7 linked regions of the Macaca fascicularis genome follow. The protein of the gene in region 1 interacts with the protein of each later gene in a biochemical or structural test. Links are inferred from orthologs where the notes say so. Each region holds a gene or a part of one and is shown on either strand. Other genes may lie near its edges. The genes, in order: RARA, PSMC5, TADA3, TRIM24, NCOA6, MED1 and NRIP1.

Evidence for each region.
Region 2: the proteins of RARA (region 1) and PSMC5 form a complex in vitro, tested with the Homo sapiens proteins (2 studies listed by BioGRID). The link is inferred for Macaca fascicularis from reciprocal best matches to the Homo sapiens genes RARA and PSMC5.
Region 3: the proteins of RARA (region 1) and TADA3 form a complex in vitro, tested with the Homo sapiens proteins (2 studies listed by BioGRID). The link is inferred for Macaca fascicularis from reciprocal best matches to the Homo sapiens genes RARA and TADA3.
Region 4: the proteins of RARA (region 1) and TRIM24 form a complex in vitro, tested with the Homo sapiens proteins (3 studies listed by BioGRID). The link is inferred for Macaca fascicularis from reciprocal best matches to the Homo sapiens genes RARA and TRIM24.
Region 5: the proteins of RARA (region 1) and NCOA6 form a complex in vitro, tested with the Homo sapiens proteins (3 studies listed by BioGRID). The link is inferred for Macaca fascicularis from reciprocal best matches to the Homo sapiens genes RARA and NCOA6.
Region 6: the proteins of RARA (region 1) and MED1 are reported together in a solved structure, tested with the Homo sapiens proteins (2 studies listed by BioGRID, with this or other methods). The link is inferred for Macaca fascicularis from reciprocal best matches to the Homo sapiens genes RARA and MED1.
Region 7: the proteins of RARA (region 1) and NRIP1 form a complex in vitro, tested with the Homo sapiens proteins (4 studies listed by BioGRID). The link is inferred for Macaca fascicularis from reciprocal best matches to the Homo sapiens genes RARA and NRIP1.

The regions. Positions count from the first base shown.
Region 1 is NC_088390.1:61,434,569-61,438,451, reverse strand, and holds part of RARA (retinoic acid receptor alpha), read right to left. Parts: exon of another isoform or gene 3,622-3,883; intron 2,812-3,621; exon of another isoform or gene 2,693-2,811; intron 2,587-2,692; coding exon 2,438-2,586; intron 1,127-2,437; coding exon 985-1,126; intron 1-984. UniProt on the Homo sapiens protein: Receptor for retinoic acid. Retinoic acid receptors bind as heterodimers to their target response elements in response to their ligands, all-trans or 9-cis retinoic acid, and regulate gene expression in various biological processes.
Region 2 is NC_088390.1:70,333,045-70,337,418, forward strand, and holds the start of PSMC5 (26S proteasome regulatory subunit 8), read left to right. Parts: upstream 1-1,359; 5' UTR 1,360-1,361; coding exon 1,362-1,414; exon of another isoform or gene 1,415-1,822; intron 1,823-2,017; coding exon 2,018-2,108; intron 2,109-3,418; coding exon 3,419-3,488; intron 3,489-3,778; coding exon 3,779-3,876; intron 3,877-4,063; coding exon 4,064-4,120; intron 4,121-4,202; coding exon 4,203-4,374. Other genes in the region: pre-rRNA 2'-O-ribose RNA methyltransferase FTSJ3, read right to left, coding at 1-43, 166-212, 476-581, 755-821.
Region 3 is NC_088376.1:148,044,893-148,048,775, forward strand, and holds part of TADA3 (transcriptional adapter 3), read right to left. Parts: exon of another isoform or gene 3,627-3,883; coding exon of another isoform or gene 3,603-3,626; intron 3,433-3,602; coding exon 3,323-3,432; intron 2,213-3,322; coding exon 2,027-2,212; intron 1,525-2,026; exon of another isoform or gene 1,325-1,524; coding exon of another isoform or gene 1,243-1,324; exon of another isoform or gene 585-1,242; coding exon of another isoform or gene 551-584; intron 1-550. UniProt on the Homo sapiens protein: Functions as a component of the PCAF complex. The PCAF complex is capable of efficiently acetylating histones in a nucleosomal context. The PCAF complex could be considered as the human version of the yeast SAGA complex.
Region 4 is NC_088377.1:180,256,646-180,260,528, forward strand, and holds part of TRIM24 (transcription intermediary factor 1-alpha), read left to right. Parts: intron 1-608; coding exon 609-741; intron 742-1,776; coding exon 1,777-1,851; intron 1,852-3,539; coding exon 3,540-3,689; intron 3,690-3,883. UniProt on the Homo sapiens protein: Transcriptional coactivator that interacts with numerous nuclear receptors and coactivators and modulates the transcription of target genes.
Region 5 is NC_088384.1:90,870,909-90,875,226, forward strand, and holds the start of NCOA6 (nuclear receptor coactivator 6), read right to left. Parts: upstream 2,955-4,318; 5' UTR 2,770-2,954; intron 1-2,769. UniProt on the Homo sapiens protein: Nuclear receptor coactivator that directly binds nuclear receptors and stimulates the transcriptional activities in a hormone-dependent fashion. Coactivates expression in an agonist- and AF2-dependent manner.
Region 6 is NC_088390.1:60,452,825-60,456,707, reverse strand, and holds part of MED1 (mediator of RNA polymerase II transcription subunit 1), read left to right. Parts: intron 1-2,974; coding exon 2,975-3,883. UniProt on the Homo sapiens protein: Component of the Mediator complex, a coactivator involved in the regulated transcription of nearly all RNA polymerase II-dependent genes.
Region 7 is NC_088377.1:32,171,337-32,175,839, forward strand, and holds the start of NRIP1 (nuclear receptor-interacting protein 1), read left to right. Parts: upstream 1-1,373; 5' UTR 1,374-1,554; intron 1,555-2,062; exon of another isoform or gene 2,063-2,130; intron 2,131-4,503. UniProt on the Homo sapiens protein: Modulates transcriptional activation by steroid receptors such as NR3C1, NR3C2 and ESR1. Also modulates transcriptional repression by nuclear hormone receptors.

The sequences.
Region 1 (3,883 bases):
ATCCCAGGCTTAACTAGACAATGGCTTCTGGATCCTTGTGCCAGCCCCTCCACCCCCCCGTACACACATAAGTCCAGCCAAGCACCCCTCAGAATTCAAGCCCCTCCCCTAAGACTCACAATCAGAAGGGACTAACTATGCCTCTGAGCCCCACCCCAAAGCCAAGCAAGGCCTGGAAGAAAGCCATCCTGGAGCAAACACACATGCACACATGCGCAAAAGCACACACAGCCAGACGCGCAGAAACAGGAACAGTTACACACACACGGTCCTGGAGCACAGACCTGCCCATGCACACACAGCCAGACGCGCAGAAACAGGAACGGTTACACACACACGGTCCTGGAGCACAGACCTGCCCATGCACACACAGCCAGACGTGCAGAAACAGGAACGGTTACACACACACGGTCCTGGAGCACAGACCTGCCCATGCACACACAGCCAGACGCGCAGAAACAGGAACGGTTACACACACACGGTCCTGGAGCACAGACCTGCCCATGCACACACAGCCAGACGCGCAGAAACAGGAACAGTTACACACACACGGTCCTGGAGCACAGACCTGCCCATGCACACACAGCCAGACGTGCAGAAACAGGAACGGTTACACACACACGGTCCTGGAGCACAGACCTGCCCATGCACACACAGCCAGACGCGCAGAAACAGGAACGGTTACACACACACGGTCCTGGAGCACAGACCTGCCCATGCACACACAGCCAGACGCGCAGAAACAGGAACGGTTACACACACACGGTCCTGGAGCACAGACCTGCCCATGCACACACAGCCAGCCAGACTCGCAAACAGGTCCTTGCGGCTACACACAAACCATCCTCAACCGTGAGCCCGCACACCACGGCATGCGTGTTCATGCATGTGCACACACATCCACAGAGCCCTGCTCCCTTGGTCTTTAGGAGCACCTGAGGCCCCAGCTCAGGCGGGACTCGGCTCTTGCCCCATGGCACTCACACTCCTTGGACATGCCCACTTCGAAGCACTTCTGCAGTCGGCAGTACTGGCAGCGGTTCCGGGTCACCTTGTTGATGATGCAGTTCTTGTCCCGGTGACACGTGTACACCATGTTCTTCTGGATGCTGCGGCGGAAGAAGCCCTGGGTATGGAGGGGAGGGAGTCAGGTTGTCCACACCCACAGTGGCAGCAGTGCCTGGCTATAGTCTCAGTCTAGGGGAGGAGGGCCAGGCCAGCTGCTACCCCCAAGCCTTTGCCCATCGCCTACCTGAGCAGGCCAGAAAAGCTGGGGAGAATGATTCACCTAAAAGGATCCTCCTCAGGAGAATCCCAGTACCCGCCTCAACGCCGCAGGATGGGCAGGAGTCTTCCCCCAACCCACAGCACACATCTGACTCCTCCCTTCCAGGGAAAGGACCTCAGGGCTGCTGGTGAGTCAGAAAGAGGAAGACATGGGGCTAACTGGGAAACAGCCAGGAATCTGGAACCCACAGCCCTGAACTCAGAACACAGGAAGAGAAGACAAGCCCGAAGAGGCCAGGAGTCAGATACACGGGCTGGCCAGAGAAATGGAGGCGAACACACACATGCACTCAGGAGCAAGGCAGAAAGATGCGAGTTCACCGAGACAGGCGTGCGCCGGCCCATCACAGACAAACCCAGGCTGGCCAGGGGCTCCACATACAGGGTGACCAGAGAGACAGGCGGACAGATGAAGAAGAGACCAGGAACAACCAGACAGGACAGGCAGACACACAGCCTGAGGCCTTGCGCTTTGCCCTTGACCTCTGTCCCACACCTGGGGATAGCTACTCCAGGCTGAAGAGCAGCCCAGAGCTGCAAGGCCCAAACCTGTGCAGATTCTGAGCCCCAATATCTGGAGGAAGAAATGCACACAGAGGCTCAGGCCCCGGGGAAAGGAGGAGAAGCTGGGCACAGGGCTGCTAAGGACCGGGTACACCTGCACCCTGGCACCTAACGTGAGGGTGGGGAAATTCAGCCAGACACCGGGGAGCCCACAGCCCGGGCACCTGAAGGGGAAGCCAAGGCACGGTGCCTGCTCCTAACTGCCTCCTGCCAGGCTGCCATGGTGAGGTTCAGGCAGGGCCGCCGAGGGAGGCCTCCTGGGTCCCCAGCCAAGAGCCAGTCGGCAGCCAGCTCACCATGGCAACCTGGGCAGCGGTGGCAGAGCAGGCATACGCCCTGCCAGCTGGAGGATGGAGAAAGGGAAAGGAGCTGAGGCAGGAGGGGACCTCTGGTTTGAGGGAGCCCTGCACATTTATGGGGCAGGACCTATGGTAGGTGTCCCTGCTTATTGCCAACTTCCACAGAAAAACAACAGCAGCAACTTCAGGGACACCCCCCACCCCAACTGCACACTCCCAGGACACGGAAGTGGGGATATCCCACTGACCTCATCAAGCTGTCCTTCCCAATGACCCCTTCAACTCACCTTGCAGCCCTCACAGGCGCTGACCCCATAGTGGTAGCCTGAGGACTTGTCCTGACAGACAAAGCAAGGCTTGTAGATGCGGGGTAGAGGGGGCGGCGAGGGAGGGCTGGGCACTATCTCTTCAGAACTGCTGCTCTGGGTCTCAATGGCTAGAGAGAGAAGAGGGGAGGGGCAGTTAGAGACCTAGGCCGCCATCCTTAGTACCAAGCTCCACCCTGCCTCACAGTCCCTCCTAAGAGCCTCTCCCAGCCTCACCACTGCTGGCAGGATTCAAGTCTTAAGAAAACTGGGACTCCCCAGCCAGACTCAGGGAAGGAGGCTGCCAATGAAGCCTCCAGCGCCCCATCACTCCTCCGGATTCCTAGGACCCACACCTTCAAAACCACAAAGAGACAATGATAAACCATCAGATTTGTATGTGTGCCGTGACTGTGCTTGGGGAGTAGGGGTGGGGGTCACCCTGATTCTAAAGCTCTTGCCCCTGGGCGGCCTGGCCCCGTTCTCCCCCGAGTTAGGAAGGAGTTAAGGCTTGAAGAGGAGGGAGGGAAGAGGACACAAGCCGGGGGCAGAGGAAACTGGGGTCAACAGGATATTCAAAGCTGGCCACTCCCCCGCCCCCTCTGCTTCCGCTCCCCCCTCCACCCCATTCTGCCAGCAGCCACAGCCCCTCCTCCACCCAAACAATCCCAGGGCCAGGGACCCAAGGCAGGGGGTGCAAACAAGAGTCACAAATGCTGGGCAGAGCAGGAGGTGTCTCCCTGAGATAGGCAGGGAGACACCCTGAATACAGGGAGAAGAGTCCCCAGGGCCCCAGAATCCCATCATTCTGGGTACCCCCCATCTGGGGAGAGACGGCATGACAAAGGGGGTCTGTTCCCATCAATGCTCTGTCTGTCTGGCCTCAATACCATGTCCGGGTTAGTACCCCTCCCCTTCTGTTATTCAGCTCCAAGAGGGCAGCCAGGAGGGGTGACCCAGACAGCAGGGGCAGCCCTCACTGGCCAAATCCTCCCCAGTGCCTGGCTCCATGCCACCCATCACTGTAGGCAGAACAGGGCTGGGTTGGGCAGGGGCTATCTGTGTCCAAAGCCTGGGCAGCTAAGGGTGTTGGGTGCAAGATAAGAACTATGACTGAGGCAATCCCAGATTCCCAAGGGGCCACCCAGCATCGTCCTGAGGCCTACCACGTTCAAGTCCACTTGTCCAGGGCCAAGGATGGATGAGGATGCCTCGCCAAGTAGACAGATCCCTGCCTCCTCCCATATTCCACAGTCCTACTGAGCCCTACCCCAAACTCCAGCACATGAAACTGGCTGGCATTTAAAGGTGCCCACAGCGCCTGGCCCAGGTACCTTACAGACATGAGTCACATGGCCCCAAATCACATGGCCCTAAAGTTGGGGCACAGGGGAAGGAAGCATGGGAACACCAGGGGCTGACTCTGTG
Region 2 (4,374 bases), about 8.9 Mb from region 1:
GTCACCACATTGGGGAGAGGCTTGATTGGAACCAGGTCCACTCCTGGAATAAATCAGGTCAGAGTATTCTAAAGGGTTGCCTCAAGCAGGGAGGAGAGAAATACAGGACAAAGTACTTTATACACCGACCCCTTAAAACATCAAGGAGAGCTGTCCGTTACTCACCCACAATAAGGCTGGATACAGGCATAAACTTGGCAGCTACCTGCAGCCTATAAAAGGAATAGGAATTTAAAAACCTACAGCCATCCTTGTCCCCCTCTTGGCAACTGACCTCTCATCCCTGGTGTTACGTGCACTGGCCAGAACATATCATAGGCACGTATTCCAAGTCCTTTCTCTGCAGTCAAGAAAGGAAACGGCCTCCAAGGGGACCGGGATTCGGGATTCCTCTCCCGCAATGAAACTGGAAACCATCGCAGCTCAGAACACAGAAAGCGGCCACCAGGAGCAACCTGTGGCAAGTGTTACGAACCATCCCCCTGGCGCAGCACACAGGTCCAGCAAGGCTCGGGCTTTCTGCAGGAACTGAAAGCGGCGATTGAGCTGGATCAGCTTGAAAGCAGATCGGGAACGGTAACCTGGACAAAACAACCAAGTGCGCAGAGGGCTTCACCATCACCAGCAGGATTTCTCCAGCCTCGCAACCCACTACCCCTTCTGCAGGAGAGGTACACAATGGTCAGAAAGAGCAGGCGAACCGGGCAGAGATCGCTCGCTCGCTCGCACGCAGACTGAGCGAATCTGGACTCACCCGTCTCCTTCGCCAAGTGATAAAACTTGTCCCGTCGGCTCTTGCCAACTTTGCCCTTCTTGCCCATGGTGGAATGGGGGAGTATCGCTCAATCTGGGGAGAAAGTAGAAGTTGAGGACGTCTCTTTCCGGATCACCAGATTCCTCTTTCAGTTTCCCACTTCCCGCAGCAATTCCACTCCGCTCCCCTCTCCGCACACTCTACCTAGACCCACGGCCGCTTTCTCCACACTCGGAACCGCACATGTATGCAGCAAACGTACTTCCGCTTCCGCTTGCGTCCCTGGCTCGAGGTTTTCCGCCATTTTGAGTGTGGCCATAGATTGTTCTCGGTACTCTGTCCTCGGATTTTGTAAGTTGAAAGTTGAGACTAGGAAGGCACATTACAAGAACTACAAACATAGTTTCAATGAGGCAACATTGAGGAGTTCTGCTCCTTCCTCTTCCCCCTCCAAAGCCCCTGAACTCTCGTAGCCGCCCCTCCCATCATGGTCCCCTTAGTTAGTGTGGTCTGGCCGCGCACCCCGCCCATTGACCCGGAACTCTTCTCTGCCTGGTCTTCAGGTCACAAGCCTCCGCTTCCGCGCCTGCGCGCAAAGGGGACTCGGATGCCGGCGGTCTCTGCTGAAGAGAGAAGATGGCGCTTGACGGGCCAGAGCAGGTATGGCGGCTGCAGTGGCGGCCCGGCAGGTTACGGGGCTGGGTGCGGAGCGAGCGTAATCTAAGTGGAGAGCGGGCCGGGGCAGGAGGGTTGGGTGGGTCGGAGGTGGCTGGAGTAGTCCAGGCTGGACGCTGCCTGCGACTGGATCTGCTGTGTCAGCGCCGCCCTCGGTGAGTCAGGGCAAGGCTGGGAGAGGAATACGCGGTAGAAGCGGAGTGAGTGAGGGGAGCGATGGGCGCGGGAACGGCCGGCCCACGGGTCGCAGGAGACGGGACGCCAGTCCTTCGGCTCCGTTCCGCTTGCTCCGTCGGCAGTAACGACACCTCGGGCTTGTAGAGCGCTTCACGCAGTGCAAAGCGCCCCCGTGTATATCATATCGCCTCTCGGTCCTCCTAAAAGTCGTACAAGGTAGGCGGCGTTCCCATTTTTTTATTTTAGTCGTGGGAAAATGGAGGGTTCCCAGGGAGGGAGGGATTAGAACCCAGATGCTGAGCCTCCGAAGTCCAAACTTTTTTTACTACGCAAAGCTACCTGGTGTCAAACCTTATTCAAAGTGCCCTGCAAGTGGCTTTATCCCCTCGGATGTTTAACCTGTCGTTTAAGACTCACTCTGTGTCTTCAGATGGAACTGGAGGAGGGGAAGGCAGGCAGCGGACTCCGCCAATATTATCTGTCCAAGATTGAAGAACTCCAGGTGAGGACGGACTTCAGAGAGAGCTAGGAAGCGGGATGATGGGGGATGGAAACGGACTTCCACAAATCCATCTAATTCCACTGGGAGTGCAGTGGAAGAAGCTGCTGCTTCTCCTTTCTTGTTTGTTTCTTAGCTAGTAGGGTGTGTGTATCAGAAGTAAGCAATCTCTTGTTCTCCTCCAGTCCCACCCCTTTGAGGGTCATAGTGTTCACAGTTTGTTAAACATTTTCAAGAGTCAAATCTTAACAGAAAAGGTACCTCTAGCCAAAGGTCAGCCCTTTTGGAAGAAGCCCGAATGAAAAGGATTCTTATGAAAGGGAAACAAGCTCAGGAGATGAAATTTATCACCAAGAGGTTGGGTGAGGGTGAAGTGAGAATGTGAGGAAAGGCATCATTGAGGCATCTGGATAATGCTAATTCCATAGAGACTGAATGAAAGAAATTGGGCAACCCAGAACGCTAGCCTAAAGCGCTAAACCATAGAAAAAGGACCGTTTATGTTGTTAATGAAATGTTTATGTTTACCAGTAAGGCTTCCAGCAGTAAGGTGTGACTCTCAGTAGTAGGTATGGCTTCCAGTAGTAAACATTACCAACAACATAAACAGTAGGCTGTTAGTGTTAACAGTGTTATGTTACAGTAGGCTGTTAGTAGTTTAACTTTGGACAAGTCCATGTATTTTCAATTTCGTCCTAATCCCCTGCGTTGTTCAAGTGTCATCTGTAATATAAATTGGATGGGGGAAAGCCACAAAGAACAATTCTGAATTCCAAGTGCATTTGCAGGTATTATGTTTAGTTAACCATTTTGGAATGCTTTTTCATGTGTTTTTATTCGTTCACTTCAGTAGTCCTGAAAAGGAGCAGGGCAGCTGATGCTATACCCATGTGCCATTTGGTAACAGATCTAGATTTTTTAAAATAGATTGCCTGAGCTTTACCTTGCTTTTGATTGACAGCAGCTGGGCTAGAACTCAGACTTCTCACCTAACACTCTTTCCACTAGGTGATGTTGCCTTCCTGTGAGAAATTTGGTGTTACATGAGCCAGCTGTAACTTTTCTCCATTAGATTCTGTTATTCCTGGACCAGAATTGGACAAGCAGCCTTCTTTGATGGCTGCCATAAGCTCCAGAGGGACTCTTGGAGGACAGGGCAGGGTCATTAGAATCATACTGGAGAATCTGAAACAACACACAGGTGCCCTGTGCCCTTCCCTCAGCTCATTCTGACCTGTGAGGTCTTGGCCAAGATCCTACCTCCTCCTGTCTCCTGCCCTTGAGTAATGGAATTTGTCTCTTGTCTGCCACAGCTGATTGTGAATGATAAGAGCCAAAACCTCCGGAGGCTGCAGGCACAGAGGAATGAACTAAATGCTAAAGGTGAGTGGGGAAAGATGGGAAGCCGCATGTGGGCAGTTTGTCTGAGGTCTGTCCTAACCTCCCTGCACAGTGTCTTCACAGCAGTGCTTACTGTTTTCTCCCTGTCATCTAGTAGTTTCACATGCATCTCTTTTTCCCGAGCTCCATTGTAGCCTCCTTAAATACATGAATTTTTATCTTTGGTCTTCCTTTAATAACTTAAGAATGATGCTTAGCTCATGCATGTAGAATTGGGTCCTGGAAACTCCAAAGGAGTAGCTAGGTGACCACTGTGTCTGTTTGCCATCTAGTTCGCCTATTGCGGGAGGAGCTACAGCTGCTGCAGGAACAGGGCTCCTATGTGGGGGAAGTAGTCCGGGCCATGGATAAGAAGAAAGTGTTGGTCAAGGTAAAAGCAGCATGACCCCAGGGACCAACCAGCTCAGTCTGCACTGGATTCCCACCCCTTTGTGTGTAGCCTTGGGAGACAGGGTTCTGTGTTCTGTCAAGGTATTGTGGGATTCTCGAAGGTCTTCCTGGGTAGGGTTAGTGATTTGGTGGCTGTCAAGGAAGATCATGAGCTCTTCTTTCTTTAGGTACATCCTGAAGGCAAATTTGTTGTAGACGTGGACAAAAACATTGACATCAATGACGTGAGTGTAGCAGGTGAGGTGGTGGTGGGGTCAGCTCTTATTTCTTATTGTACCACTTCTGAAACTCACCCCCTTCACCCAGGTGACACCCAATTGCCGGGTGGCTCTAAGGAATGACAGCTACACTCTGCACAAGATCCTGCCCAACAAGGTAGACCCATTAGTGTCACTGATGATGGTAGAGAAAGTACCAGATTCGACTTATGAGATGATTGGTGGACTGGACAAACAGATCAAGGAGATCAAAGAAGTGA
Region 3 (3,883 bases), on another chromosome or scaffold:
GCCTGCCCGTTTTCCAGAAGAGGAAGCTGCTGCTCAGGTCAGGGAGTGCTTAAGGCCTTGCAGCTGCTCTGCAGCAGGGTAAGGGCTGTGCTCTGGTTTCCTGAGAGCTGCAAGCCATTTCTTCATTGCCCATTACTTCTTTTTTTTTTTTTTTTTTTTTTTTTGAGACAGGTCTCACTCTGTCACCCTGGCTGGAGTACAGTGGCCTGATCAAGCTCACTGCAGCCTCCACCTCCCAGGATCAAGTGATCCTCCCACGTCAGCCTCCTGAGTAGCACTATAGGCATGTGCCACCATGCCTGGCTGATTCTAAATTTTTAGTAGAGATGGGGGTCTCACTACATTGCCCAGGCTAGTCTCAAACTCCTGAGCTCAAACAAGCCTCCCACCTCAGCTTCCCAAAGTGCTGGGATTATAGGCATGAGCCACCAGGCCCAGCTAAGGCCCATTACTTCCGTAACCGCACATGCCTGCTTTTCTCTCTCTTCCTCTCTCCCTCTCCTTCCCTCAGTGCCCCTTCCATCTGTGTTTTCTTCTTCTCACCTTTCAGAGAAAACATGAACTATTACAGAAAGAGGCTTTGATTCAGCCATGGGCTCAAGTCTCAGCTTGGCTGTTTATTGAGTGTGTGACCTTCAGCAGAGCACTTCGCTTCGCTGGGCCTTTATTTCCTCATCTGGTAAACAAGGAAAACAGCACTTCCCTCCTGGGTTGTTGTCAAGACACTTGAGAGTGTACATAAAGCCCCTGACACACAGTAGGCACGCAGCATACATTAGTCACCCTTATCCTTAAATATCCTGGCAGCTTGTCAGCAACTACCTCTCCTTTTAATGGCACTCGTCTTTACTGATCATCTGCTAGTAATCTGCAAGTCTCTTGCTGTGCCTCTCTTGCTGGTCCCTAGCACAATGTCTAAGAGACAATAAGAATGGCCAAATGATTAGCTGGGCATGGTGGTGGCACATGCCTGTAATCCCAGCTACTCAGGAGGCTGAGGCAGGAGAATTGCCTGAACCTGGGAGGCAGAGGTTGCAGTGAGCCGAGATCGTGCCACTGCACCCACTGCCTGGGCAACAGAGTGAGACATTGTCTCAACAACAACAAAAAAGGCCAAATGAATGTGTATGTCCTGTCCTGTCAGGGCTCTATGAAGTTAAGACACAGCACTTGCCTATGAGAAGCAGAGACTTGTTTGGGTTGCTTCCCTATCTCTTTAACTAAAGGGTAGCTATTCCACAGTCTTCCTCCAGATGTCACCTATACCTTTGTTGTGATCAATGCAGAACAAGATGGATGGGAGTTGACATCAAATGAATGGTAGGCACTGTGATGGATTCCCAAAAGAACATGTCTAAAACACTGGTCAATTTCTTGTGATAAGCAAATAAAAATCACAGATCTCTAACAAAATGTTAATAGTTAATTAGTCTAGGTGGAGAATATGCTGATGTTTATTGTATGATTCAGATTTTCTGCATGTATGAAATTTTTAATAAAAAAACTTTGGGGATAAAAAGAAAAGCAGCATGAAAAGACAAAAAATAAATCACACAACAATGTGCATATGGGTAACACTACTAAACTGCACACTTAAAAATGGTTAAGAAGGGTAAATTTTTTTTCTTTTCTTTTTTTTTGAGACGCAGTTTCACTTTTGTTGCCCAGGCTGGAGTGCAATGGTTCAGTCTTGGCTCACTGCAACCTCTGCCTCCCAGCTTCAAGCGTTTCTCCTGCCTCAGCCTCCCATGGGCATACATTTTACATTATGCCTCTATCACAATTAAAAAATCAAACCAAATCAAATCAATCGATCAATCAGTCACAGGTGCCTGAGCCCCACTCTGTGGAATTAGAATTTGTTTGACACATACCCGGTGGACTGGCCACTGCTGTTTCGAGGCTCTCCAGGTGATTTAGAGACCAGCCAGGCTGGAAAGCCTGTTGTAAAACCCCTGGAAGGTGACCAGCTGTGGCCACAGCCTCCAAGGCCACCCGCGGGACTGTGCATCCTGCTCACACTCACCTCAGCAGGTCGTGCTTCTTGGTGCGGTTGTGGGCACTAAGTGCCTTCAGCTCCGCCTGCCGTTTGCGCAGCTCAGCAAGGACCTCATCCTCAGAGTCCTCTGCTGGGCGGTCCTCAGACTCCAAAAGGCCCTGGGCAATTAGCTCCTCCTTGATGCGGCTCTCCAGGGACTTAGTATGCGGCACACTGCAGGGGGAGGCAGGCCCCTGTCAGACTCAAGAGCCAGCTTGGAGGAGGGCCCACCTTGGAGGTTCCCAGGGCTTCCCAAGCTCAGTGAAAACCTGCCTTTCCCTTTGGGCACCCCCTCTGTATCTATCCAGATACAAAGGGAAGGACAGACACATCTGGTCTGGTTTTTAAATACAAGCAACATATGTATCCACTATCCAAAAAATATGGAAAAACCTGTAATGCCAACAACCCAGAGAGAATCATTATTATTTTATTATATGTTATTATATATATATTCCAGATTTTGTTATATATTATTCCCAATCTTTTACTACATATTAGTCCAGGTTTTTTCCCCTATGTGCATGTATTTAAATATATTTTAAGTAGGCCAGGCATGGTGGCTCATGTCTGTAATCCCAGCACTTTGGAAGGCCGAGGTGGGAGGATCACCTGAGGTCAGGAGTTCAAGACCAGCTTGGCCAACATGGTGAAACCCCGTCTCTACTAAAAATACAAAAATTAGCCTGGCATGGTGGCAGGCGCCTGTAATCCCAGCTACTTGGAGGCTGAGGCAGGAGAATTGCTTGAATCTGGGAGGCGGAGGTTGCAGTGAGCCAAGATTGCGCCATTGCACTCCAACCTAAATGACAAGAGTGAGACTCTGTCGCAAAAAAAAAAAAAAAAAGAAAAAGAAATACATTTTAAGTAAAAATAAGATTATAAAAATATGTATCTGTACTGGCCTACAATTAACATTTTCCCCACTTGGCACTCTATAATTTATATCTTTTCATGTCATTTACCTATATTTCTCTATACTTGCAGCTATATGATTAATAGTTGCAAGTTATTTCATCATATGGAGTTATGCCAATTTAGCCAACCACTCCCCTTCAGCAGGACATTTGGTTTATTTATGGTATGAACAGTTCTGTGCTGAACAACCCTGCACTCAGTCTGTGCATGCAGACACATTGGGCCAGCACTCACACTTGAGACTGCTATTGGGCTTCACCTAACTGTCCCCAGCCTCTTATTGATGAGGAACTCCCCAGGTTGAGATGGAGAGAAGCCAACAGAAGTGGGCGCCAGACTGTGGGTTGTGGATAGGACACCACTCACCTGAAGGGCTTATTCTGATTGCGAGGGGAGGTGCTTGCCCCGTCAGCCCCTGATTCTTTCCCAGACATGTCAGGAATAGGAGAATCCTCCATAGGGGAAATAATATTTTCCTAGAAGACCACAGAAATGGGTGGAAGGAAAAAGAGCTGTTCCACTTTCCTGCTCCTTTCTGACCTACACTGACAGTCTTCAAACACCAGAAATATCCTTTTATCTTTCCCATCCCACCTACTCTGGGAAGCCTTCCCATACTGATCCCAAATTGCTTTGATCATTCTAGAAATCCATTTTTGTACTGATATGAAGAAAAAGGAACAAAAGGAACACAGAAGAGAAATGATTAACACTCAATGATGGTAATGAACAGCCAAGGTTTGTGAAGTGCCTGCAACGCACCAGGCACTGTGCTAGGCCTGCTGTGGCAGAGGTGCTAGCTGTCCGAACGCCACTCTCCTGTCCTCCATGGCAGCTAGGCAATGCCTCTCCAGCTGCACTACATTTCTCAGGCTCCCTTGCAGGCAGGTATGGTCATGTGACAGATTCTCTCCAGGGGAAAGCGAT
Region 4 (3,883 bases), on another chromosome or scaffold:
ATTATCACAAGGTGTCACCATAAGGAACAATGTCCTTAGGCATAACAGCTACCAGTTTATTATGTCTTTTTTCCAGGCATCAAACTGTATCATTTACAAGTATTTCAAGTAAATTCTCAAACCCTATGGGGATGATGATCATCATCCTGACCAAGATGGTTAAGAGCCATTGGGTTGATCTCTCAGTTCTTGGAAGGCTATACTTTTGAAAATTTAATTTTATAAACTTAGAGTAACAAGAACAGTACAAAGAGCTTTTCTGATTTCTGAATCCTTTGGAGGAAAAAAATTCAATTATGCCCTAGATATGTGAGCCCTAGATTAATGTGTTAATTTGTCTAGGTGGTTTTTTTTTGTTGTTGTTTTTTCATATATGTATCTCACACCTTCTTAACTAGATTTTGATGTTAGGCCCTTGCATTATATTTCTGCTGTTTCCTCTCAGCATGGTACAGTATACCTAGTGGTATGTGGTAAATGCTGAGTGATAAAATTCATGCCAAATAAACAATTCTGTATCATAGATGTCATGGAGGAGGTGGGAAAGGGAAATAGTGAAGAGAGGAAATGATGCATTAGAAATTCAAAAGTACATTGTCCCCCTACAGTGGAGAGTGGATTTGTACTTTCTGCCGAGACTTATCTAAACCAGAAGTTGAATATGATTGTGATGCTCCCAGTCACAACTCAGAAAAAAAGAAAACTGAAGGCCTTGTTAAATTAACACCTATAGATAAAAGGGTAAGTCTTTGAGCATTTCCAACCTAGCATGTTAGACAATTTTTTGGTAAGATGCATTATTGTACTGTGGTGCCTTTCATCAGAGAGGTGTATATCCATCCAGATTTTATACTGATCCTTTTTATTTAGGAGTTTTTTTTTTTTTTTTACAAAGGTATAACTTTCTTTAAATTTAAAAAAAAGTCACAGAATTTTGTGTGTTTTATAGAAGCTTATTGTACCTGAACAAGATGGAGTATGTAGCCTAGACTTTTAATCTACCTTAAGTAAATTTCTATTTTGTTTTATTTCTACCATAGATAAGTTTTTTCCTCAGAATTGCCACCAAGGAGCTGGGTTTTTTCTTTACTCTTCCTGGAAATAATTCTTTTTTTTTAACCGAATGGGACTAGACTTATGCATCAAAGCCAACTGATACATTTAACTGTAAATAACATTTACAGCTACCAAGTCAACACTTTGTTACCAAAAAAACGCCTTTGCTAAATTATTAAATAGAACAATCAATATGAAAGTTGTCATGCAAGAGGGGACGTGCCCATTCACTGCCAGTACTACTCAGTGGTTACTGGGATAAACCCATAGGCAGGGAAGTATGAATAGCAGAGCACATGGTTGGACCTTCTGCATGCAGAGAGGTGCCTTAGGTCTGTATGCGCATTGAGAAGGTCCACCTCCAGTTCTCCTGAGAGACATATGTTCTTCCTTTATGGAGTATTATTAATTTATAATACACAGACTGGAGCAATAAGTGCAAATTTATTGTTAGAAAACTTCAAATGGGTTTCTAGTGATTGTCAGTTCATTCAATTACAGGGCCTGCTCCCAAATATCATATATACCCTAAATTGTCAAGTAGTACAGTTCAGTTAATGATTCGGAAGGAGAACAAAACTCCAAGAATCAATAATTTTTTTGTATTTATCTGAGTTTAAATTTTTAGTCTGATACTTTGGAACCTCTGAGATTGTTATTTAAAATAAGCTGTGAATTCATTGTTTTATATTTTATCTGTTTTTATTTATTTTTGCTTAGAAGTGTGAACGCCTACTTTTATTTCTTTACTGCCACGAAATGAGCCTGGCTTTTCAAGACCCTGTTCCTCTAACTGTAAGTATTAATGTCATTTTGTGCATGTTTACACAGTGGAATGCTTTTCTGGAATTTTTATTTATGAGAATCTAGCTTATATACCATTTTCTAGTATTTTTTAATCTAAACCTTAAATCTTAATAATACATACTGAATGCTTTGATTCTATATAGGTACATTTTTAGTAAGTGGCCCAAAACTTGTGTTCATTTCTCAGGTATTCTTTCGTCTTTTCTCATCTATTTTACTTAGTACTGGGGTGTTTGGGGTGATTTCTGTTAATTGTCTGTATCTCAGGAGTTTTAGGCATGTTTCCAAAGCTGTTGGAAAAAAACTTTGTTTGAAATAAAGACATCTCTCCCTGCTAAATTTTCCATACTTATTTTTATTTATAGGTCCAGACTTCAAGTAAATAAGTAGACTTTACCAATACAAAAAAGTTGAGGTTCATATTGAAAGTTTGATGTGACTTTAATGCATAATTTTAGGGTGCTGGAAAGGGCCTGGTACCCCAAAAAAGTATTCTAATGTCTGAACCCAGGAGGCGGAGGTTGCAGTGAGCCGAGATCACGCCATTGCACTCCAGCCTGGGCAACAAGAGCAAAACTCTGTCTCCAAAAAAAAAAAAAAAAAAATTAATTTGTTCTACAGTTTGATAAATCTCAGATTAGTACAAAGTTAGAAGAGTATCAGCTTAGTAAATACATTCAGCTGATAAACAGCTTCTTTCTTAAGAACAGGTTTGGAGAACCTGATATAGGAAATAAATACTTCCAGGGAGAAGGCTCGTTTGTACCCAAAAGAGGCAGGGTATTGAATTGTGCTTTCTGTTATCCTGGCTTAGAGTTACGTTATTAATATCAACAGCACTGACAAAGTAGCCCCCTTTTTCTTAATAAATACCATCTCATTTAGTCTGTACAAAATGTTGTGAGCTTGGCAGGATTATTCCTATCTGGAATATGAAGAAACTGAGGTTAAGTAACTTACCCAGGACTGTGATACTGAGCAGCAGAGCTGGGGATTAAACCCAGATTCGAAGTCCTTCTTCCTCTTTACCACATGTTATATAAATACATGCAGCAAAAACATGTCAGATTCTACTAGAAATGATATTATTTCTAGTAATTGCTTTTTGTTTAATAATGAAAGAAAATCTAGGTGATTTAAGAGAGAATATGTGAAGACAAGTTTTTTCATTAAAAATAATTGGGACTGGGTGCAGTCGCTCATGCCTGTAATCCCAGCACTTTGGGAGGCAGATTGCTTGAACCCAGGAGTTTGAGACCAGCCTGGGCAACATGGCAAAACCCCATCTCTATAAAAAATACAAAAATTAGCCAGCTATGTTAGCACATGCCTGTAGCCCCAGCTACACGAGAAGCTGAGGTGAGAGGATCACTTAAGCCCAGGAGGCAAAGTGCAGTGAGCCGAGATTGTGTCACTGCACTCCAGCCTGGGTGACAGAGCAAGACCCTGTCTCAAAAACAATAATTGGTTAAACTTCTTGGAAAAAGTAACACAAACCTTTACCAGTATGTATGTGGAAGGCAGTGAACACTGTTAAATGGGTTTCTTTACTAATGACAGATAGCACAGAGAAAAGCAATGAGAACATTCTGAATTTTAGAGCACATCTCATAGACTATATTTAGGACAAGGTAGAATTTAGCTATTTATATTATAACATCTCATTTTTTTTAAAGGTGCCTGATTATTACAAAATAATTAAAAATCCAATGGATTTGTCAACCATCAAGAAAAGACTACAAGAAGATTATTCCATGTACTCAAAACCTGAAGATTTTGTAGCTGATTTTAGATTGATCTTTCAAAACTGTGCTGAATTCAATGAGGTGAGGCTAGGGGAGGGGAGGGGCAGGAAGGAATAGCAGTGTGAAAATCATTTTATACTAAACACCGTGTCAACATAGGAGACCAAGATGTCTGAGTTAGAAAAAATTTCCAACTTTTCAGATCAGGGAATGCAGGAGAGAATTCAGATAACTATCCACATTTATATTCAAAGGTTTATTAGATGGTGATGGAA
Region 5 (4,318 bases), on another chromosome or scaffold:
TATGCGCATCATGTCTTTGAAATTGTAATTATCAGATCCATCACTAAATCTGATTTCTTAATGTGCTGATAAACAAGTATATGAGGCCGGGCGCGGTGGCTCAAGCCTGTAATCCCAGCACTTTGGGAGGCCGAGACGAGCGGATCACGAGGTCAGGAGATCGAGACCATCCTGGCTAACACGGTGAAACACCGTCTCTACTAAAAAGTACAAAAAACTAGCCGGGCGAGGTGGCGGGCGCCTGTAGTCCCAGCTACTCCGGAGGCTGAGCCAGGAGAATGGCGTAAACCCGGGAGGCGGAGCTTGCAGTGAGCAGAGATCCGGCCACCGCACTCCAGCCTGGGTGACAGAGCGAGACTCCGTCTCAAAAAAAAAAAAAAAAAAACAAGTATATGAATATTAGATTTGTATATGTTGGAAACTATATTTCCATATAATTGGTGTTCCTTATAATTCAATGTACTTTATTTTATACAACTAAAAAATATTATTCTGAAAGGGGTCCATGGCACAGATAAGGTCAGGTCTTCCTTCATTAGAAAAACCCAGGTGGCTCACGCCTGTAATCCCAGCATTTTGGGAGGCCGAGGTGGGCAGATCACTTGAGCTAAGGAGCTCAAGACCAGCCTGAGCAACATGTTGAAATCCCATCTCCACAAATTAAAAAAAAAAAAGAAAAGAAAAACCCAGAACAAATGAATTGTGTTGCAGTATATACATATGGTATTGACAATCTTATTTTATATTTGCCCTCATAACCTTTCTGTTCATTAATTCTCTTTGATTATATGGGGCCCTGGACCTATTTTCCATGACTAGTTTGCATATTTCCTTCAGAACTCTCCCATAGCCCACGCGAACTTTGAATTTTTCTCTAACATGATCCAACTTCAATTAACAAAATAGACACTCTGGGTCTTTACAATTTTTCACTTTTCTTTTTTAGGATTTTGTGTCCCTTTGTGGTAAACACCTAGAAGAGAAGAAGTATTTCTTTTTTCTTTTTTTTTTTTTAGACAGTGTCTTACTCTGTAATCCAGGCTGGAATATCATGGAACGATCACAGCACGGCTCATTGCAGCCTTGGCCTCCCAGGCTCAAGCGATCCTTCCACCTCAGCCTCCTGAGTGGCTGGGACTAAAAGTACAAGCCACATCAGGTGGCTAATTTTTTTTATTTTTTTGTAGAGATGGGGTCTCCCAGCTCCTGGGCTCAAGCAATCCTCCCGCCTTGGCCTCCCAAAGTGCTGGGATTACAGGCATGAGCCACTATGGCTGGCCGGAGCATCTCTTAAAACTCTACAAAGTTAGAAGGTCTCAAAGACAACAACTTTGCACAATTAGAGATGAGCCAGGAAATACCAAAAAACTGGCTGCCTACCCTCTTTTGTATTCCCTTCAGCCTTTGTATTGCCAAAGTCATTAAAGGAACAAAACAAATTTAATAGTTATCTGGTATATACTGTTACGCTTCACTTCTTATTGTTTTTGTTTGTTTGCTTTTAGTTTCATCACAAGAATGTTATGGTTCATTTCTTAACACCTTTCTCCCAGCTAGCAAACTCCTTTAAGGCAATGTGTTTAGTGAGCAGGCAGCTGACCATTTCCAGTAGACCCTCTGCTACTAACTTGTAAGATCTTGAAAAGTCAACTTTACCTTTCTGTTTCAGCTAAAATCACTACCTGATTTGAAATCTTTACTTGATCTCTCAGGCCTTTGTAGTTTTTATACATTCACTCTTCTTCACCATTTTACTGGCTTCAATAACGCCTTTCGGATGACCTCTCCAGGTGACCCTGCTCTTAAGCTGTGGGCTGTCCCCTTCCAGGGAAGACACCTTGGGTCACCGCCCCCAAACAGCCGGGTCCCTCCTTTTAAAGACACACACAATTCCCTAAGTTGATAAAGGTTCTTTCCTTTCTTGCCAACCAGTTCCACTCTCTGTGCCTCTTTTGCCGGTCAGCTCCTGCACCCAAACCTCAGTCCCCTTTTGTCCCCCTTTTCTCTCATCAAACACCTCCTTTTTCCTGTTGCTTCCCCCAATAGGGGGTGGAGGATGCTTGGAACGTAAGTCTTCAGAGCCTTGGGAGTTATACAGCTTTGCAAATCAGCCCCAGTACCCCAAGGACTGCCCCAATCTGATACCAGCGTCTGTACCCAAAGGGCCCTCATTCCTCATCCATCACCTCCTTCCCTCCCCGCAAAGAACTGCTCCAGCCCTGACAGCCTAAGCTTGGCCCCCATGCCTCCACCCCAATCACCAGGTTCTACCTGCACTAGTGCCCTAAGCCCGCCTAAGGCCTAACCCAGTTCCACGTCCTGCCATCCTCTCAGCCCATGGACCCCAATCCTGGTTCCTTTCGGATCCAGTGTTCCTTCTCCACGACCCTGACCACGACCCCACTACTGGCTCCCGCCTGTTCCCCGGGCCTGGAGCGCCACCCCGTGCAGACCCCGGCCAGCCCTGCACTCCCTCAGTGCGCCGGCCCCAGCGCCCAGCACCCTCCCCACCCCGCCGGGCCGCCGCTCCCTCCAGCGCCCCCGCCCGCAGGCCTGGGGCCCGCTCCCCAACATGGCGACGGGGACATAAGCGCGGCGGGCGGGGCGGCTCCGGGCCGGGCCCGCACTCAGACCGTGCCACTCGGTCGCCCGGCGCCATTTTCCCGCGCCGGGCCCGGGCGGCGCCTCCTCCCCGCGAAGCCAGCCCGACAAGGACCGCGGACACCCGGCGGGCCCACCCCTTACGGGCCCGCGCCGCCGTCGTCTCACCTGAGCGCGGCCCCAGCCCTCCCGGGCGGGCCTTGGAGCGCCAGCCCCGGCCGTGCGTGCCCGCCGCCCTCCGTGCGTCCGTCCGTCAGTCCTCGCGTGCGCCCGTCTGTCCGGCCACCCGCGCCCGGCCGCCCGCAGCCCGACCCGGCAGGGCCTCACCGAGCCGGCGGGGAGGGGGATGGGCCGGACCGGGCCGGGGAGGGAGGGGGAGGGAGGGAAAGAGGGAGGGAGCGCCAGAGGGGGCGGGGCGGACTCGAGGGGCGGGGCATTGCCCACGTGACCAGACGTCCCCGGGAGCGCGAGGTGGAGTGCGCGCCAGCTCGCTTGGGTGCTGTGAGCTTAATGCTGGGATCTCGTGGGTTTCTGTCGGCTTCCCAGTGCTATTCTCTCGCCAGTGAGTCCCGCTGGGGAAACACACACCGAACAGCCTTTTGCGAGCGCACTGAGTATCCTTGGAAATGGCAACTCCAAACCTCAGTTTACCCATCTGAAATATGGGGAAAATCATAGTTCTTGTGAGGAGGAAATGGAGGTAGGCATGGAAGGCACTTGTCACCGTGCCTGACACATAGTGTCTAATAATAAGCTTAATGGGATATAGATAAAAGCTTTCACTATTATTTGCCTCTAAATCCCTCTCTTCTTTTTCCCATCATTACCTCCCTAGCAAGCTAAAATGCTCAGGAAATAGAATTATTGATCGAACGAGTGTGGCCCCTCCCCACTTCCCAAATGTAGAAAGGCCTCCTCAGCACTGGCCTTGACGTCTGTCATACAGGCCTGGATTCATATCTGGCTTTCACTCTTTTTTTTAAATTTTTTGGGCCGGGCGCGGTGGCTCAAGCCTGTAATCCCAGCACTTTGGGAGGCCGAGACGGGCGGATCACGAGGTCAGGAGATCGGGACCATCCTGGCTAACACGGTGAAACCCCGTCTCTACTAAAAAATACAAAAAACTAGCCGGGCGTGGTGGCGGGCGCCTGTAGTCCCAGCTACTCGGGAGGCTGTGGCAGGAGAATGGCGTAAACCCGGGAGGCGGAGCTTGCAGTGAGCTGAGATCCAGCCACTGCACTCCAGCCTGGGCGACAGAGCGAGACCACGTCTCAAAAAAAAAAAAAAATTTTTGTTTTTGTTTTCTTTTTTCCCACACTACACTGATGTATTTTTTAAATTTTTGTAAGTACGTAGTAGGTGAATATATTTATGGGGTACATGAGATTTTGATACAGGCATACATCATGTAATAATCACATCATGGTAAATGGGGTATCTAGCACCTCAAGCATTTATCCTTTGTGTTACAAACAACCCAATTACACTCTAGTTATTTTAAAATGTACAGCTAAATTGTGTGTGTGTGGTTTTTGTGTTTTTTTTTTTTTTTGAGACAGTCTCACTATGTCGCCCAGGCTGAAGTGCAGTGGCGCGATCTCGGCTCACTGTAACCTCCGCCTCCCTGTTTCAAGGGATTCTCCTGCCTCAGGCTCCTGAGTAGCTGGAACTACAGGCGCCTGCCGCCACACCCAGCTAATTTTTGTATATTTTTTAA
Region 6 (3,883 bases), about 980 kb from region 1:
GAGTGAGACTCTTTCTCAAAACAAACAAACAAACAGACAAACAAACAAACAGAGGTTGTGGTGAGCTGAGATCGCGCCACTGTTCTTTAGCCTGGGTGATGGAGTGAGATTCTGTCTCAAGACAAACAAACTAAATAAATAAATAAAAATACAAAAATTAGCCAGGTGTGGTGGCAGGTGCTTATAATCCAAGCTACTCAGGAGGCTGAGGCAGGAGAATTGCTTGAACCTGGGAGGCAGAGGCTATAGTGAGCTGAGATTGTGCCACTCCACCCCAGCCTGGTAGACAGAGCAAGATGCCATCTCAAATAAAAAGCCAACTTAATTGTTGCATGAAAGATAGTTAAGCCAGTATGCATCCCAGAACCATTAATAAGTAATTTTGTGAGATTTTTCTACAGCTAGGTCTGGCAGCCTATTTTTGTAAATAAATTTTATTGGAACACTGCTGTTCATTTACATGTCTGTGGCAGATTTCTAGGTAATATTGCAGAGTAGGTGAACAGGAAACGTGACGTACAAAGCCTAACATATTACTACATGACCTTATAAGAAAAATTTGTGGCCGGGTGTGGGGGCTCACCCCTGTAATTCCAGCACTTTGGGAGGCCAAGGTGGGTAAATCATGAGGTCAGGAGTTAAAAACCAGTCTGGCCAAGATGGTGAAACCCCATCTCTACTGAAAATACAAAAATTAGCTGGGCGTGGTGGCAGGCTCCTGTAATCCCAGCTACTTGGGAGGCTGAGGTAGAGAATTGCTTGAACCTGGGAGGCAGAAGTTGCTGTAAGCCAAGATCGTGCCACTGCACTCCATCCTGGGCAACAGAGCGAGACTCCATCTCAAAAAAAAAACAAAGAAAAATTTGCTGGCTGGGTGTGGTGGCTCACGCCTATAATCCCAGCACTTTGGGAGGTGGGCGGATCACCTGAGGTCAAGAGTTCGAGACCAGCCTGACTGACATGGAGAAACCCTGTCTCTACTAAAAATACAGAATTAGCTGGGCGTGATGGTCCATGGCTGTAATCCCAGCTACTCGAGAGGCTGAGGCAGGAGAATCACTTGAAACTGGGAGGCAGAGGTTGCCGTGAGCCGAGATCGTGCCATTGCACTCCAGCCTGGGCAACAAGAGCAAAACTCCGTCTCAAAAAAAAAAAAAAGAAAAAAAATTTGCTGACATATGTTCTAGAGCAAAACATTTGCAAACTGAGGTTTATGAATATAAATTTATCTGGAAAATAAGTGCTTTGCTTTAAAATAAGATTTATAACAAATAGCACTTTTTATAACAGGTGTAGGTTTGGGATCTAAGTCAGTAAGGTTTAGAAATTGATAGGTCAAGAGATTTTTCTTTTTTTTTTTTTTTGAGACAGAGTCTCATACTGTCACCTGGGCTGGAGTGTAGTAGTGTGATCTCGGCTCACTGCAACCTCTGCTTCCTGGGTTCAAGCAATTCTCCTGCCTCAGCCTCTCAAGTAGTTGGGATTACAGGCACCCACCACCACGCCCAGCTAATTTTTTTTGTGTTTTTTTTTTTTTAATTAGAGATGGGGTTTCACTATGTTGGCCAGGCTGGTCTCAAACTCCCCACCTTGTGATCTGCCTGCTGCGGCCTCCCAAAGTGCTGGGATTACAGGCGTGAGCCACTCTGACCAGCCAAGATTTTTCTAATGGTTCCTTAATTAAAATAAATTATGTATCCTTGTAATTGCCATATGAAGCCCCCAAGGAAGACATTTTCTTTGAGATGGAGTCTTGCCCTGTCACCCAGGCTGGAGTGCAATGGGACGATCTTGGCTCACTACGACCTCTGCCTCCTGGGTTTCAGTGATTCTCCTGTCTCCCTTTCCTGAGTAGCTGGGATTACAGCCGTACACCGCCACGGCTGGCTAATTTTTTGTATTTTTAGTAGAGACACGGTTTCACCATGTTGGCCAGGCTGGTCTCAAACTCCTGACTCCCAAGTGATCCACCCGCCTCGACCTCCCAAAGTGCTGGGATTACAGGAGTGAGCCATCACGCCTGACCTAAGGAGGCTTTTTTTTTTTTTTTTTTTTTGTTGTTGAGACAGAGTCTTGCTCTGTCACCAAGCTGGAGTGCAGTGGCATGATCTTGGCTCAATGCAACCTCCGCCTCCCTAGTTCAAGCAATTCTCCTGCCTCAGCCTCCCAAGTAGCTGAGATTACAGGCCACGTGCCACCACACCCAGCTAATTTTTGTATTTTTAGTAGAGATGGGGTTTCATTGGCCGGGCGCGGTGGCTCAAGCCTGTAATCCCAGCACTTTGGGAGGCCGAGACGGGCGGATCACGAGGTCAGGAGATCGAGACCATCCTGGCTAACACGGTGAAACCCCGTCTCTACTAAAAATACAAAAAACTAGCCGGGCGAGGTGGCGGGCGCCTGTAGTCCCAGCTACTCCGGAGGCTGAGGCAGGAGAATGGCCTAAACCCGGGAGGCGGAGCTTGCAGTGAGCTGAGATCCGGCCACTGCACTCCAGCCCGGGCTACAGAGCAAGACTCCGTCTCAAAAAAAAAAAAAAAAAAAAAAAAAGAGATGGGGTTTCACCATGTTGGCCAGGATGGTGTCGATCTCCTGACCTCATGTTCCAGCTGCCTCAGCCTGCCAAAGTGCTGGAATACAGGCGTGAGCCATTGCGACTGGCCCCTAAGGAGGCATTTTCTGAGTTCCATTATTACCAATTTTCTTTTAGTTCAGTTTGAAATTCAATTATTTGGACTCTTGTTTATAGTTTGCTTTTGTTGTGTGATTCATAAGAGACTGACAATTTTATGTTGGGTTAGATTTTTATAATGTATTTACCCAAAGCTCTGGTATTTGATAGAACTATTTTTGCCTTATACGATTTGCCCTACCTGGAAACTGCTTACTGCAGAACTCTGATGGTTTATCTAAATCTCAGGTCTCATTCAGCAGCTATTGAAATATTAACTTTGTTTTCTTCCTTATCTTGCAGATGTATGTCCATCCCTGTGACGATGAGGGCTATTCGGAGGAAAGCTGAAACCATTCAGGCCGACACCCCAGCACTGTCCCTCATTGCAGAGACAGTTGAAGACATGGTGAAAAAGAACCTGCCCCCGGCTAGCAGCCCAGGGTATGGCATGACCACAGGCAACAACCCAATGAGTGGTACCACTACACCAACCAACACCTTTCCGGGGGGTCCCATTACCACCTTGTTTAATATGAGCATGAGCATCAAAGATCGGCATGAGTCGGTGGGCCATGGGGAGGACTTCAGCAAGGTGTCTCAGAACCCAATTCTTACCAGTTTGTTGCAAATCACAGGGAACGGGGGGTCTACCATTGGCTCGAGTCCGACCCCTCCTCATCACACGCCGCCACCTGTCTCTTCGATGGCCGGCAACACCAAGAACCACCCGATGCTCATGAACCTTCTTAAAGATAATCCTGCCCAGGATTTCTCAACCCTTTATGGAAGCAGCCCTTTAGAAAGGCAGAACTCCTCTTCCGGCTCACCCCGGATGGAAATATGCTCGGGGAGCAACAAGACCAAGAAAAAGAAGTCATCAAGATTACCACCCGAGAAACCAAAGCACCAGACTGAAGATGACTTTCAGAGGGAGCTATTTTCAATGGATGTTGACTCACAGAACCCTATCTTTGATGTCAACATGACAGCTGACACACTGGATACACCACACATCACTCCAGCTCCAAGCCAGTGTAGCACTCCCCCAACAACTTACCCACAACCAGTACCTCACCCCCAACCCAGTATTCAAAGGATGGTCCGACTATCCAGTTCAGACAGCATTGGCCCAGATGTAACTGACATCCTTTCAGACATTGCAGAAGAAGCTTCTAAACTTCCCAGCACTAGTGATGATTGCCCAGCTAT
Region 7 (4,503 bases), on another chromosome or scaffold:
CAGCTGTGCTAGTAACAGTAAGCAAAACAGATTGTCAGTTAGTGAAGGGGGAGAGAGAGAAATTACAAAAGGCAGAGATAATCATTAAGTCATGGCATCCTACAGTCCTTTGGTGTAGCGACTGATAGCGTTTGGACCTCCTGGGAGAATCCCTAACACCTAGGAAGAATATAGAATAGGAACTGGATATATTTCCTGAATCCACTACAACCTACTACAACAATTACTTTTAATAAAATTGACACTGAATTGTCAAGAAAATGCTAAATGATGTTCAATAAACCGCTTAAGAGAAACATTTGCAATACATTGTAGAAAAATCTTTGTATTATGGTTAAAAATAATTTTCGTAAAAAAAGTTTGACCCCCACTAAGGGGCCAAGCTCCAATTACGCTGGTCATCATTGAAACGGTTTGCTTTGTATCAATTCTGAATAAATGATGCACTAAAAAACAGCAGCCTTTACTAATTTGCCTACAGCAGATTTTGAATTGTGGTATATGCAAATAATATGGTATTATATGAGGTTTAACTTTTTAAAATGGCAACAGATTGCATAGTTCAATCAGTAGGGTGATGTAAAATAATTGTTTTTAAAAGTGCCATTGTCACTAAGGAAAACATCGGTACCATGTGCCCGGCACTGTGCTAGGTGCTGAATTTATTAAGCATTAATTTGAAAAATTGCTTTCACTTTCAAGACTGTGACAGTATTCTAAAACTCTCATTCATATTTTTAAAGGTTAAGTGAAATTTGCAGTACACAATACAGCCATTACATAACAGGCATAGAATACAGTTTCATGACTTGGATAGTTGTTGTTTTTTAAGCGCATTAGCAACTCCATTTTCAAATGCTATCAAATTCTTCAGGATATAAAAACCTACATGTAAGAATGGAGTGCCTCATCGGCTCATTTGTCTTATGTAATAAGTGTTTTAACACAGTCATGCCATTTCAGAATTTCGGGTGAGACTAAGCTATACTTTAGCTTTTTTGTGTCAAGCAAAAACAATTTCAGCAACAACATTGGTTTCCCCTGGTAATTTTTTTCATGGCGAATTACTAAATGCTGGATGCTCAAGTCAAAAAGAAACCTGACATCTGGGGAGGTGTTGAGGGGGTGTTAATAGTTCTAGGGAGATGTTTGGGGAGCGCTGAGGATACGATTTTTAAAACAGCAAATACACGGATAAGGGGAAATTATGGTTTCGTATGACTCTCTCCTCCCTCCACTTTCTCGTTTCAGCAGTCTGTAGCCCCCCCAATTTAGAGGCGGGTTCAGCGAGATTAGGCTGCAGGAAACCAAGAGGCTCCACCGCGCTGCCGCCCCGGCCTCGTGATGTAATTGTTATTTCTTATTCGGAGACTGAACCGAGGAGAGCTGCTGAAGAAGTAGCAGCTCTGCTCCTTTTGCCTTGTCTGGTTCCCGGGGATGATGTAGATTGGCTGACAGACTCCGCTGGAGACTTCGCAGTGACAAAGCAGCCGAGGATTAACCCTGCTCCTGGGTCCTACGTCTGTCCAGGGAGCTGAGCGGGGCGCTCCTCAGGTCTCCTTCCTAGTTTTCCTCCCGGAGTCGCTCCACATGAGGGCTGGGTGCCTACTACGTGCTGGGCGTGGGGTCAAAGTGACCCAGAGTTCGCGCCCGCGCCCCCCACGATTAAAGCAGGACACACAGATTACAAGGAGATAGAAATTGGGTGGGGGGTGAAAGGGGGCCCAGGGAGCGCGTGTTGTGGGGTGAAGGGGAGGAGGTAGACTTTTAAGGCGCCAGCACCCAGGCGGGGACCCTGGGGCGTCTGGGGTGCCCCGGTCCCCAGGCTCTGCCCAAACGGGAGCATTCGGCCTGGGTCCCGAGAGCGCTTCCCCGGGTTCCCAGGAGGAGCTGTCCAGGCGCCTGCAGCGGTCGCGGGCGGCTGGACAGAGCTGGGAGCCCGGAGGACGGCCAGGGCGCGCCGAGCAGCCCCTCTCTTGGGGACGCGGTCCTTTCGCTGCCTCCGGGCCCTGCAGCCCCGTCTGAGCCACCCGGAAAGCAGGCGAGGAGGAAATCCACGAACCATAGGGGGCTCCGCAGCTACCGCGAGCGGCCCGGACCCGCACGGCTTCCTCCTGACCGGCTGACAATGGGAGGGAGGGGGAGAAAAGGGTTAAGAAACTTGGCTGAAGAGCTGAATGGCGTGGGGCGGCGAGGGGAGGGACTGGGCCGCGGCGGACTCGGCGGCGGAGGGAGGAGCGCGGCTGCGGGCGGGCGGGCGGCGAGCGAGGCGCTCAAAGTCAGCCTCGCAGACATTGCAGCAGAGCCCCGAACTCGGGAGGCGGCGGCGGAGGAGGCGGCGGCGAGGCGCAGGGACGATCCGGCCCCACGCCCGCCCGCCACCCGCGCGCGCCCGTCCGCCCGTGGCCTCGCGTCCGCCGCTGCGCCGGGAGCGCCGCTGGTCGGAGGGAAGAGCTCGCCGGGGTGCCGGGCCAGGACGGGGCGGCAGGCGCCTTCGCGGACCGAGCCTGACGGAGCCGGAGGCTGGGAGCCGCGGCGGCCTGGGGTGAGTGACGGCCGCGGCCAGGGCGCCCAGAGTAGCGGCCGCCGGCGCCGCCGGAAACGGCCCCGGAGCGCGGCCCGCGTCGGCGCTGGCTTGGCGGGCAGGGCCGCGGGGGCGTCGGGGCGGCGGGGGCAGCGCGGCCGGCCGCGGGCGCGCACGGGGCGGCGTGGAGGGCGCGTTTCCGGGGAAATCCTGCCTCTGCTGCCTGGTTCGAGTCTCCCCGGGTTCTCGCGGGGGGCCGGGGCGGCGGGCCGGCAAGTTGTGGAGTGGCCCCGGGTCGGCCCGCCCGTCCGTGCCAGTTCTGGGCAAGGGGGCGGCCGTCGCGTGGCCCCTGCGCGGGGTCGGACACTGGAGCTCGGGGGCCGGGTCGGGGTTGCCCCTCGCTCGCCTGCCCTCTTGGTCGCGAACCTCGGGCACCGCTCGCTGCGCCGCTCTCGATCCTGCTGTCCAGCCGGATCCTGGGCGGCGCCTTTCGCCTGGGTGCCTGCCTGCTCCGTGCTTGCTGGATACCCGGCTGGGAAAGTGAATAGGAAAACGGACAGCTCGCCCGGCCCCCAACGGACCCCAGGCCCGCTCTGCCCGCACTCGCCGTCCCCCCCGGATGGCGTGGCTCACGGACCCGAGGCCTCAGCCATCATTTTACCAGGAGCCAGGGGCCGGCCCCCATTTAGGGTGAGCCCCGTGGAAGTCCGGGAGGCTGCCCTTTCTCCCTTCTGCTGTCCCCACCTTACTACTATTGCATATTGTTTTATGAAGGTTTTCGTGGACGTATTCTGCAGACCCTCACATCCCTTCCAAAGTAGTTTCCCAATTTTAATCAGGAGTTGGTGTTCAGTCTGAAGGAACAAAGGAACCAACTGTGTCTTAGAGGCGGACAGGCTGGGAGTCTGTGACACATGTTGATCTCTGAAGCATTCCAGGAGTTTCTACCTTTTATCACGTCAGTAATTGGCTGCTGAAGGTAGTAAAAGAAGTACGGAATGATAAGCACTTTTGCTTTTTAAAAATATTTTTTAATGGCACATTTTACTTTGGGGGAAAGAAGACGTTCTTAGGCACAAGGATTTTTAAAAACTCGGCCGGTGGAACTGAGGTGGAGTTTGTCTCTGGTATTGTAAATGATTACATGTGGGATTGTGAAGGAAATTGTGTCGTTAGAGGAAGAGAAGCCATCTGTAGGTGTCCGTAGTAAAAAATGGTTGTCGGATTATAGGTGATCAATGCTCTTTCTGTTTCTTGGGAAAATTTGTGAAGCAAGGGGCTTCGGTAATTCATTCTTTAAAGTTATGAATTGCATTGAATGCTTATTAGTGAATCATAGGTTTAGTAAGTGGGTGGCATTATTCAATGTTTAATCATCAGTTTTCCACCTTTGTGGAAGAGATAGTGAGATAATAGACTTTTTAAACAAATGGTGTTTCATCTGCTTAGCCCGTAAGTGTCGGTTGCCGCCTGGTGTATGTTGAAATGTTTTCACCTTCGAAGTAAGTGAATTGCTCTGCTTTTGCCCAGCAGTTTGGTAATGTCGATAGGGTTTATTTGGTTCAGGGGAGCGCTGGCTTCATCGCCTATAGTAACTTTTTTTCTGCCTGGGCATAGTTCCTAGAGACAAAGAAGGAGAATCAATTAGTGGAACAGCTACTGCCCTGCAGGTTACAGGATTGGTTGCTCTAGTCTGTGTCATACTCTAGTGGAGAAAGACCTCTTTCCAAACTTACCCTGGGAAGTGCCCTAGGAGTGTGAGCAAAATACACATCCAAAAAAAAAAAAAAAAAAAAAAAGGACTGTTCGTTGTTGATTTTATTCAAATGAGTTAGGTGAAAAAGGCAGGTTTAATGCCTGTGGGAAGTTAGTTGAAAACCAGGTTTAATGCCTGTTTTACATGCATTTGCAAACTCTGTAGAACTTGGATTTTGCTAATTTTAACAGCCTAAAATGTTGTTAACTTTGCACTAAAGAAA